Linked DNA regions of Tamandua tetradactyla. The protein of the gene in region 2 interacts with the protein of the main gene of each other region in a pairwise test. Links are inferred from orthologs where the notes say so. Each region holds a gene or a part of one and is shown on either strand. Other genes may lie near its edges. The genes, in order: EXOC7, SSC5D and SEC23IP.

Evidence for each region.
Region 1: the proteins of SSC5D (region 2) and EXOC7 interact in binary tests that used the Homo sapiens proteins (3 or more experiments, as listed by UniProt). The two-hybrid records come from large-scale screens. The link is inferred for Tamandua tetradactyla from reciprocal best matches to the Homo sapiens genes SSC5D and EXOC7.
Region 3: the proteins of SSC5D (region 2) and SEC23IP interact in binary tests that used the Homo sapiens proteins (3 or more experiments, as listed by UniProt). The two-hybrid records come from large-scale screens. The link is inferred for Tamandua tetradactyla from reciprocal best matches to the Homo sapiens genes SSC5D and SEC23IP.

The regions. Positions count from the first base shown.
Region 1 is NC_135332.1:16,546,841-16,550,585, forward strand, and holds the start of EXOC7 (exocyst complex component 7), read right to left. Parts: upstream 2,844-3,745; 5' UTR 2,692-2,843; coding exon 2,632-2,691; intron 2,408-2,631; coding exon 2,342-2,407; intron 1,282-2,341; coding exon 1,097-1,281; intron 915-1,096; coding exon 809-914; intron 1-808. UniProt on the Homo sapiens protein: Component of the exocyst complex involved in the docking of exocytic vesicles with fusion sites on the plasma membrane.
Region 2 is NC_135342.1:4,244,018-4,247,762, forward strand, and holds the start of SSC5D (soluble scavenger receptor cysteine-rich domain-containing protein SSC5D), read right to left. Parts: upstream 2,796-3,745; 5' UTR 2,719-2,795; coding exon 2,694-2,718; intron 2,177-2,693; coding exon 2,150-2,176; intron 1,904-2,149; coding exon 1,595-1,903; intron 1,400-1,594; coding exon 1,286-1,399; intron 1,072-1,285; coding exon 958-1,071; intron 621-957; coding exon 312-620; intron 1-311.
Region 3 is NC_135339.1:82,424,065-82,427,809, forward strand, and holds the start of SEC23IP (SEC23-interacting protein), read left to right. Parts: upstream 1-1,332; 5' UTR 1,333-1,422; coding exon 1,423-1,585; intron 1,586-3,745. UniProt on the Homo sapiens protein: Plays a role in the organization of endoplasmic reticulum exit sites. Specifically binds to phosphatidylinositol 3-phosphate (PI(3)P), phosphatidylinositol 4-phosphate (PI(4)P) and phosphatidylinositol 5-phosphate (PI(5)P).

The DNA.
Region 1 (3,745 bases), on a different chromosome or scaffold from region 2:
ACCAGCTGTTTATACCAGGTAGAGCTGGTGGGTCCCCACTGGGTTATAGGAGCGCCAAGGTATCAATCCCATCAGCCTTCAAGGCAGCCAGGTGGGCCCTTGGGTGGCCGGGGACCACCGTCTGGTTTCCAGTTTGTCCCCAGGTGCCACACAAATATTCTCATTTCTGATGTATGCCATGATGGGGGAAAAGCCAGGAAGCACTGCTCTCAGCAAAAGTTTTTGGTCAGGAGAAAAGACAGTTTCTCATCTCTGTTCTTCAGCTCATGCCTTCTTTTGGGCAAGCCACACACCTCAGAGTGAGACCTGTAGTGTCACCAGAAAGGTACACCAGGAGACTGTGTTCCAGATGGCCCCTCCCCTAATACTCTTACTCTCTTGGCCCCACTCACCTTCTTGGGTCTCGGGGCCTCCTCTCCCACCTTTCCTCTGGTCTCCAGCCTCTCATTCTCTCAACACAGAGTAAATCTCACTTCTAACCCTTCTCCCACCCTGCTCTGGTGTCCTAATGACCCCAATACTTAGACGCAAAGACATCACACAAAATATAAACACAAAACCGCAAATGCATTTATAAAAACTAAATGTAAAATTTATATCATATATACTTTAAACAAATTACAAAAACAGAATAAAAATGTAAGCCTATAATTTCCGAGACAGAGATCTTAGTGTCTGGAGAATCTGAATTCTACTAGATGTTTTTGTTTATTATACTGTATACTCTTTTAAGCTGGCCAGGTATTTCCTTATGAGACCAGGGAGGGATGTTTCCCAGCCCTCTCCCTTTACTCTGCTGGCCCCTTACCACTTTGTTGAGCTCTGGGCTGTCCGGGCTGTTGTCCTGGAAATACTCCACAGCCTTCTGGATCTTGGCCATGCTTCCCAGGTACTCCTCCAGCCTACCTGTGGGGCTGGGAAGAAAAGGAGCCTGATCATGCTGGGGAGCAGTGGAGGGGAAGGATTAGGCCATGGTGTTTGGAAGAAGAAGAAGAGAATTAACACTAGACCTAAATACATCCTACCCCTCCCTTCTGAGGCCCAGAGCTGGTGGTCCAGGAGGCATTAGGGATGTGGCCCTCCGGCCCTGGCTCACCCCTCCCTGATGATCTTCTCGGTGTCACTGGCCACATGGTAGTAGCTGATGACATGATCTAGGCAGGACAGGGTCTTCTCCACATTCTCCTGCAGCCGCTGCAGATTCTCTGTCTGCTTGTGCACAGGGATGATGGAGTTCTCCAGCTTCATAAGGCGGCTCTCAAAGGATGACAGGATAGACACCTGTTGGGAGAAAGTCTCTGCTCTAGGGTGGTCCCAGTTCTGCTTCCTTCTCATCAGCAGGTCTTTGGCAATTCCTGCCTTTTCTCTTGTTTTCTAGACAATAAGCTCCAAGAAGGAGGGACAGGGCCTACCTGTTCACTCCTGCCTCCCCAACATCTAGCATAGGCCTGGCAATTAAGAGGTGGTCCCCCGCAAATTGGTCAGTTTGAAGGTAAGCTAAGTATCAAGTTAATTCCTAAGATAATCATTCCAGGATGACTTCTCTTCTACCCTTTGAAGCCAAATCTCAACTTCTGGTCTCTTTGAAGTTTTCCTAGACTGAACAGGAAGTTGTTTCATACAGAATAGCCTCAAAGCATTTGCTGGCACCTTCAAAATCCTGTCTCTAAAGGGGGAATCTCATTATGCAAGAAATAGGACTTCATCACTGTGTTACCGAATGCAAATCCGTTTGTTTCTATTCAACTTCTACCCGAACGATCTCAGCTAGGAGTAAACAAGGAAGCGAATATTTATTGAGCACAATTGTATACCAGGCACTGTGCAAGATGCATCCATTCATATGACCTTCGCAGTCACGTTGAGAGGTTGACATTGTCACTGTTTTAGTACACAAGTCAACTACAGCTCAGAGTCAACTGCCTGGAATCACACAACTGTGTGGAGTAAGCGCTCCTTCTACCCCTAAAGTCCTCTGGGGGTGAAGGCTGAGTCTTCTATGCTCTCAGTAATTTCAAATCTCAAAGTAATCTCAAAATGCCACCCCTACCGGGACAGTCTTGAGTTAAGAATGACCCAGGACCAGGACTACTCAGTCTCACTAAATGTGGCAAGAGAAAAGGAAGAATGGAGAGCCTAGACAGAAAGCAGAAAGTTCAAGTCAGCGGGGGCTGCCGGGTCCTCAGAGATGGGGCGGAAATTGGAGGAGGGGCGGGAGGTAAGAGACACCATATCGTTGCTAGAGAAACCCATCACTATCCACTCCAAACCAGGCCCTCGGTACCCGGCACCTCCCGTAGCAAGGCTCCCCTCCGCCCCTCCCGGCTGAACACTTTCTCACCATGTTCTTGGTGAGCTGGTCGCTCTTCTCCAGGCTGTCTCTGATGAAGGACAGCGTCTCCTCCTCCTACGGGGAGCGGAGGGAAGGACATCACCAGAGGCCGGAGGCTAAGGGAGATTCCTGCGTGCTAAGGGAGATTACTGCGTCCTCGGACCCCCAGCCTCGCCCCTCATCTGAAACCCATCTCCTCACACCCCCTCCCACCCGCGCCTCCTCCCGGCGTAGGGGCCCGGCCCGGATCTCGGCCCCTTTCCCTCCACCTCCTCCCCCGATTCCCCACCATCGCCCACCTGCTTCAGTTTGTCCTCGATCTCCCGCCGCCGAGCGGACGCCTCCTGCGGGGGGATCATCGCTCCCAACCCTGCGGCTCCCGGCTCCTCAGTATCTTTCCCAACAGTCCCACGGGGGTCGCGTCCCTGCCACACCCACTTCCGTCTTTAGTCCCGCCCCGGCACCGCGCCGGTGCTGCCATGTTGGGAGAGGCTGGTGGCAATGCGCCTGCGCGAGGCTCAGTAACGGGCCAAGGCGAGCGGCCATCTTGGGTGTGTCTGGGAAGGGTGGCGTTCCTCCAGCGCAGCCCTTTCCCCCTGGTGTGGGTTCCCTCCCCCTGCGGAGAAGGTACTCGACCGATGTCATTCTGCCCGTGGCTGCAGGGCGGTCTCGGCTTGTTTACCGGTTGGAAGACTGACTTTTTTTTTTTTTTTTTTTTTGCATGGGCAGGCACCAGGAATCGAACCCAGGTCTCCAGCATGGCAGGCGAGAACTCCGCCACTGTGCCATTTGACAAATGGCCGCTGGGTCCATGCTCCAGCACTGAGTGCATACGGAGTGCACCACAAGACAGGCGCCCAATATGTGCCCGTTTAGCGAAACCGGGGCTGGTGTGTGCGGCCCTCCGTTAAGGATAAAGCATATGGAGCAGGCCCTGTGTGCAGGACCCAGGCCCGGGGCCGGACAGGACACTTGCCCTTGGTCCTAGGAGGGTGCCCAACCATAGCTGGCCTTGTGCCGGGGTCAGCCGAGTACACGGGGCTGGCAGGATTCTCAGAGCATCTCTCTTGGGGCCCCGGTGCCTGTCCTCCAGGCCCCACGTGTGGGGAGAGAGAGCTGTGAGGTTTTATTTTGGGGGGGCTGAGTGGCTTCTGCTGAGAACTTACCTCGGCCAGGAGAGGCCACAGGAGGAAGGGGGGCAGGACCGGAAGCTGTCAGGGATTCAGGCCTCAGCACATCATGGCCAGCTAGAAAGAGACTGAGCCTTGCCTGCAGGTGTTGGGATAGGCAGTGAGCATGTCTCAAGGGGCTTTGGGGAAATCAGATGGGCTTAGGGGCTGGCATGACTGTTCTCCAGGTGGTCCCAGTTGGTCTAACCTCAGCTCCAGGGGCGAGGGTCAAGAGATGCCCTTG
Region 2 (3,745 bases):
TCATGGCCTTGCTGGGATGGCACGATGGCCGGGAGAAGGAACATGCTCATTGGTCTGCACGAAACCTTCTCCCGTGGCACTGTGGGGAACACCATGGCTCGGGGTCACTGGCCAAGGCCATGGGACGGGGCCAAGAGCTGAGCCCAATTCCAAAACCCTTGCTCCCTCCAGGAGGCTGTCGGTAACTGCAGGGAAGTCGGGGGGGCTGGAGCGCTCCCTAGGAGGGGTGTGATGATTCTGAGCTGGGACCCAAGCCCTTGGGAAGGCGGGAGGACAGCCTCAGGTATGCCCGTGGCCCCCGCCCCACGTACCCGTGCAGACCAGCCCTGCGTCCTCGCTGTGGTCACAGTTGCTCCGACCCCAGGGACTCCGGGGACAGTCACGTAGGGCCTGCTCTCCTCCGCCGCACCCCACGTCATCCATCCACACGGGCCCTGAGCCGTAGCCAAACCGGGCACCGCCCGGGGCGGCCAGCGCCCCCCCGCAGCCCAGCTCCCGGCAGGCCACGGTGGCATCGCGCAGGTCCCAGCCATCGTCACACACCGTCCCCCAGCGCCCCGCGTGCCACACCTCCAGCCGCCCGGCGCAGCCGTGGGGACCCGAGACCAGGCGCAGCCGCTCTAGGGGGGACAGGGAGGGGACGAGGTGCCTCATCTGCGCACAGCATGGGACACGCAGGTTCAAGCCCTTCACCTGGGGAAACTGAGGCCTGAGCTGAATGGGGGCTCCTGTTAGGGGGAGGGAGCAGCGACTGGGTGGGGCAGGACACCCGGGTCCCGGGACAGGCAGAGGGTGGGGGTGAGTGAGTGGGAGACGGCGCCTGACTCCCTGAACCCCCGGGGTGCGGGCAGGGGCATCCCGGGAAGCAGACTGAGAAGAGGGGGCCCTGCTCCCCTTGGTCTGGGCTCTGGGCCTAGGATGCGTGCACCCAGCATCGCGTGGGGGTGGGGGCCTCACCGTGACGGGGGGCCCCGGTCACCAGCGAAGGGGCGCGGGTGGACTTGGCCTGCTTGGGGGGCCGGGGGCTCTTCTTCCGCAGGCCACTCTGGGGATCCCCGGCCGGCCGGGGCGCTGGGAGAGAGACAGCCATGAGGGGGGTGCCGGGCGGCTGCTCTCCCGTCCCCCGGAATGGCGGTGCTGGCCAGGCTCCAGGTGGCAGCAGACGGTCCCAGTGGCCTTGCCCAAGGACTACCCCCCCCCCCCCGCAGTTTGGATGGGGAACCCAGGGACCCCAAGTTCAAAGGGGGGAGAGAGCTGGGGGTGCCACGGGCTGCCTCATCCTCACCGTGAGTCTCAGGGGGCACCTCAGACACCAGATTGAAACCCCCAGAGGGCCCGGGCCAGGGGTCCCCTGCCAAGAGGGAAGTGGAGTCGTCCCTGGAGCCGGCCACACGCTGCCCTGTGGGGCACAAGAGAAGCCCTGAAGGCGCGGGGTGGGGGGTAGGAGGTCACTGGGGTCCTGGGGAGAGGGATAGGGCTGGACCCGCGTGTCTGGGTCCTCGAGGGCTCAGGAGCCCCTGTAAGCTGGGGGTCCCTGAGCCCCAGGAGGGCCCGGCACTGAGGGGTGGCCTCCCGGCCCCTGCGAGCCCCTCACCTGCGCACACGACGCCCGCGTCCTCCTCGTGGGAGCAGATGTGTGCCTTCCAGCCGCGGTGCGGGCACAGGCCCAGTCGCGCCTCGCTGCCCCGGCAGGCCAGCTCGCTCAGCCACACGGGACCCTCGCCCTCCCCGAAGAAGGCGCCCCCGGGGGCGGCCAGCGCCCCCCCGCAGCCCAGCTCCCGGCAGGCCACGGCAGCATCGCGCAGGTCCCAGGCATCGTCGCACACCGAGCCCCAGCGCCCCGCGTGCCACACCTCCAGGCGCCCCGCACAGCCGTGGGGGCCGTCGGCCAGGCGCAGCCGCTCTGCAGGGGGACGGAGGAGAGGCTCGGACCCCAGGAGGGCCCCCACCCCGGCCCTGGGGCTGCACTGGTCACAAGTGGATGCAAACTCAGGGGATGATTGGGAGGGCAGTGCTGAGGGGCCCCGGCTCCCGTAGCAGGCTAGAGGCAGGGCCCCTGGGCTCCAGGCGGAGGACGCAGGGGTCAGAGCACCAGCCCTTGGGCTCTGGGGACATGGGGTGGCACAGGGGGAGGGGCTCGGAAACTCACCGACAGCCTGGATCCCCATCAGAGCGGCTGGAAGGGAGGGTGGGTGGGCCCGAGTGAGGGGTGCCTCCAGGGGTCCCTGTCTCCAGGACAGGTCCCTTGCCCTGCATGCCCTGGCACGCACGCGTGCACACACACGTGCACACCCAGTTCCCACGCTTCTTAACCAGAAACCCGCTGCCGGGAAGCAGGACTCTGGGCAGAGGCGGACGGGGTTGGGGGTCGGGCAGGGGTTGCATGCAGGCCCTGAGATGGGTGGGGCTTGAGGTCCTTTGTGTTCCCCTATGGGGACAGCTGAAGATCAGACACTGGGTGACCCCTGCACAGGGTCAGGGTGGGGGAAGAGGAAAGGGGCATGTCGCTTGGGACCCTGAGAGGGTGGGGCTGGGACTGCGCTCGGGTGGTGGGCAGGGAGGACGGGCTGTCCTCATGTCCCCAAGCACCAAGGGCTGGGGTCGCAGAAGCCTGAACCTCTAAAGTTGATGAGCCAAGGGGTCGGAGGGCTGGGGTCCGGGCCCCTGAGTCCTCAGGGAGAACGGTCACTCACCGACGAGGCAGGCCAAGACCCTCATGCTTGCAGACAGAGTCCAGGGCGGGGACGGGGTGAAAGGGGGAGAGCACGGGCGAGAGAGGCGGCAGCGGTCACAGGGAGGGAAGCGCCTGGACTGGGGAGGGGCAGGCAGGGCCTGGACGCGCTGCCAGGAGGAGAGAGAGGCTGCCGAGGAGGCAAGGAGGCAGCAGCGGGGGCTGAGGCAGGGAAGAGGGGGGGGTAGCAGCGGACGGGAGGGTGTCCAAGCCAGGGCCAGGCTCTGGATGTCGGGGGCGGCGGACTGCAGGGAACGGACAGGACAGGGGTGGAAGTGGAGGCGGCACAGAGACCCTCCTCCTGCCCCCTCTCCTGTCCAGCCAGGGAGGAGTGGGCTGACCACGGTAGCGGGGGGGTCAAGTTCTGACTCAAATTAACCACTGGGGCTGGGGGCTGGGTTCATGTGGGGCTCCTGGTACAGTGAGAGGGCTTACAGCCAGACAGCAGGAAGGACTTCCGGATTAGGAAAGGAGACAGAACCACTCTACCCCCCCAGTCAATCTGACTGCAAAGCCCTCCCTCCGTCTGAGTGGTCCCAGAGGATGAGAAAAATGGGAGGGGGCGGGAGGGCTGAGAGTTAAGACTTGGATGGGGGAGCAGCACCCTCCACTCTCTAGCTCTCACTCATATACTCAGACCCGCTCTCTGCACCAGCAGCTGTGAGGCGGAAAAAATTCGGTAATGGGGCTTGTGAGTCAGAAGGGCGGACCGAGGCTGCTGTGAGCTCATCACCCCCTTCTCCCAGGCCCTCCCTCCCACACCAATTAATGTCAACTTGGGGAAGGGAGGAGCCAGACGGAGGGGGGATGGGGGGATCAGAGAGAGACTGGAAAAGGCATCAAAGAGAGGGACAGACGCACAGCAATCTCAGGCTTTATTAACAAATGCCTTAAAAACCAGATGGGTCTGGAGGAACGGGGGCGGGCGGGGGCTCCTGGCCCTCTCAGCTCTCCAGCTCCTCTGCCCAGGGGCCCGCAGCAGCCCTGCACCCACCTCTCGGCCCCAGAGCCCCA
Region 3 (3,745 bases), on a different chromosome or scaffold from region 2:
AAGTATTCCAAACACATCTGGGCCCGATGCTGTACAGGCTGTTGTGTGTCTCAAAGCAGACATATCTCAGACTTTGGTCCCTCACCCTGTTCCTGCTTGAGGTCCTCAAACAGGCTGCACACCTTTTTCCAGATGAGCAAAACACTTACGGACATATTCCACTGGTTCTGATCTTCTACCCACAGGCTCAGCATCTGCTCCATCACCAGGCAGCACTGCAGGTCAATGTGGCGACCTGTGAAGCTTGCCCATATTTTCTCCTTGTCCCAGATTGTGGTCACAGTGGAGGTGGACAGACCTAGAGCCTTCGTGATTTGGCTGAGCTTCTCACCGGCTCCAAAGAACCACAGCACTTACGGGCACTTAGAGGACTCCTGAGAGGCATCTTCAGGCCTGAGTTGGGGGAGACGGAGGCTCTGTCTTTGCCACTCTTTCTGCCTGTAGGTCTTCAGCCTCCTGGCAGCAAGGGTTGGCAGTGCTGTGAGCACTGGGCCTCCTGGACACTGTCTACCACATCTCTGAGTCCCGAGACGGGCTTCCACCCACAATGCCAAATCAAGGGTGGAGAAAATTATGGAACAAATCTCAAAAGCATATTTGTGTTCCTGCCCCTTGCCCACATTACGGCACCTACTGCCCCGCCCTGACCCATTGTAAAATGGGGAAACAACGTTTACTGGTGGGAAATACCAGCAAGCTTTAGTAAAACCTGTTAAAGATTTAAAAAAAAAAAAAAAAAGTCACATCCCTAAATTTCAATTATCTGGCTTTTGTTTTTAGATAACTTTTCTCCCTATGGCTTGAAAGTATAATTTTTTAAAACCATTTTTATTTATGGACTAAGGGCAAAGTTCAGTTCAGCCTAGAAGGCACCTGGGCAGGTTAGATGTGAGAGCGAAAAGGGCGTGTTTGGCTTGGCTTTGGTTGCGAACTGCCCGCACAACATTTTCCTGCCTCTCTCACTATCCACCGTCAGAGGGCTGACAGCAATTTGCCACCGGCTCCCGCGGGCATCCGCTGTTCCTCCAAAATCTTTCCCAAACAGCCCCCTCTGTACTTTAAGGAAGCCCAAAGTCTCCCCCGCTATCATGACTTACCACTCGCGCACTGTTTTAGTATCAGCAATGCTCACCCTCCCACTTTCCTACCCCAACTAGGGCCCACGGATTCCAGTCATCCCTGGCTAGCCGCTTAAGTCGTCCTCACGTGCAAAGACTCGGGCGTGGAACCGGAGCCTTCAGAACAAGCAAGTGTCGCCATGTTGATTTCTGGCGGGGGGGAGGATGTCAGCTGACCTGCCGCTAGTTGTTCCGGCCCTTGTGCGCAAGTGCGGAAATGTGCTGGCCCCTAGGGTGACCGGTTTCCGGCCGATGATGTTTCACCGGCTACCCGGAGACGTGTAACGGACGGTGGGCCGCAGCCATGGCCGAGAGGAAACCTAACGGCGGCGGTGGCGTCGCCTCCACCTCCTCATCGGGCACTAACTTACTCTTCTCTTCCTCGGCTACGGAGTTCAGCTTCAATGTGCCCTTCATCCCTGTCACCCAACCTGCCGCTGCCCCGGCCTCCCTGCTCTTGCCAGGAGGTAGTAAGGGGAGGGGATTCCGAGTTTATGCGGGGAAGCGAGCACGGGGCGTGGGGGTGACGAGGGCCAGACAGGCGGTCTTCTTTCTGATTTCTTTCTGACTCTAGGTAGCTTGCCAGGAGCATCAGTGGCCAGATTTGAGTGGATTGTTGGCTTTGGAATCTTGGAGGCGGGGGCCAGGTCCTGAGGTTTTCTCTTGATCTAATGAACCTCTGTTCCGAGTTGGCCAAAGTGCCGGATACTCGTGCATTGGCATTCCACAAATCTTTGTTATCACTTAACAGTGTGTCAGGCGCGATGCTGCTAGGTGTTAGCAGGGAATGCAGATAAATCAGACAGTGCCACTCGCCTAGGAGTTCACAGCCTAGAAGGGATACAGACACGTAATGTCTACAAAGTAGTGCTAAAGAATGAATTACTTATCTTCAAAACAGTGCATAACTTCCTATAAGAAACTTGTTCTATTAGGCCCCCACTCATATGTGCTCCCCTAGTTTTTTGTTCATATCTTTATTATTGTCTAGGGAGATTGCTTTATTTTTATTTATTTATTTATTTGTTTTATGGGGAAATTGTTTTTTAATGATTAGGTGGCATAACCATAGTATAATGTTTAGGACTTTGTCTGGGTTCCAGTCCTCAGGGATAACTTACCCTACTCAGGCATACTACTTTACATGTACATCCTCATAGCGTTATAATGAGAGGTGAATTTTTGTAAATCACTGAGAATAGTGCCTGTCACATAGTGTTATATAAGTGTGAAATAAACGTCTCATTTGGAATGTGGGCTTTTTGAAGTTTGCAGCTATGACTTGATTACCTTTTAATTTCCAGTATCTTGTTTGGTACCTACCATGTTGATACTCAGTAAATGCTGAGTCTACCAGTGAATTTATACTTGCTTGGAGGACTAGTGAAAGTTTCATGGAGAAATGAACAGAGGCATACTGGGGACAGCTATACACGAAGATTTCCCTTACCTTGCATTACGTTTCTTTAGTGCTTATCACCACCTAAGTGTATTTATTTGTTTATCTTATTACACTGGAATGTAAGCTCCATGAGGTCAGGGATTGAATTGTGTTCACTGTTATATCTCCAGTGCTCAGAGAGGTGATTGGCATGCAGTGACCAGTTACTTAATAAATATTGTTGATTGAATGAAAAGAATATAGTCAAGAATATGTATGTCACACTTTTATTATGTGATTGAAAGGTCAGGCATTGCCATCTTTGGTGAAGGACCAGATGGCTGGGGGAGGATGCAGGAATACATTAGGCCAAGCCTGGGGTTTTCATATCATTCTGCTTCACACATGTTGCCTTAGTTCATGGCCATCTTTGCTTGAGCTCTCCCTCTTCCATGTGCTCTCTCACTTGTGCTTTCTGGTATTCCGTTTGTGCTTGTCACTATCAGTACTGAACATTTTCATTTTCAAGTACTTGAACAGCTAGTATTAAAACTCTTGTTTCTTGCAGACAGAGTTTATTTTTTGGGAGTAAATTAAAAGTTTTTAGAACCACAATTCCAAATGAAGTATTTTTCTACCTCTAAGAAAGATTTCATAGTTAGAAACCCATTTAGAGAATTGCCAGAGACAAGAGAAGAACCTGTATCGTTGGAAGCAAGTTAATTCTATCAGTGAAATAGACTTGTAGGAGGCAATTTCATTCATTCATCAAGATGGATTAAATAGCTTCTATTTACTGGACCCTATGCAACATGTCAGGGACACAAAGAAGAGCAGATAGTCCTGCCCTCAATGACTGCACAGTAAATAAGTATATGTATATACCCAGCTGTGCAAACAATTGTGATACAAGTTTATAATGGGTAGAAAAGCCAGCCTGCTTTAAGTTACTGGTCTCAGGCTAGCTGACCAGGGAAAGGATGTCTTTTAGGCCTTCAGGACCTCACAGAGGAAGTGATGCTTGAACTGAGTATTGTAGGATACATAGAAATTAGGGGTCTGGAGAGACAGGCATATATAAAAGTCATGAGGTATGAGAAAACCAGCAGAATTGGTGAGAGTTGGTGGTGGGTGTCATGGGATGCTCTCTGTCTCTGTCTCCAAGTAGATCAGTGTGACTAGAGTGTGTACAGGGGTGTGACTTGAATGGTACATGGGGGCCTTGATCATGAAAAGCCTCATTTAT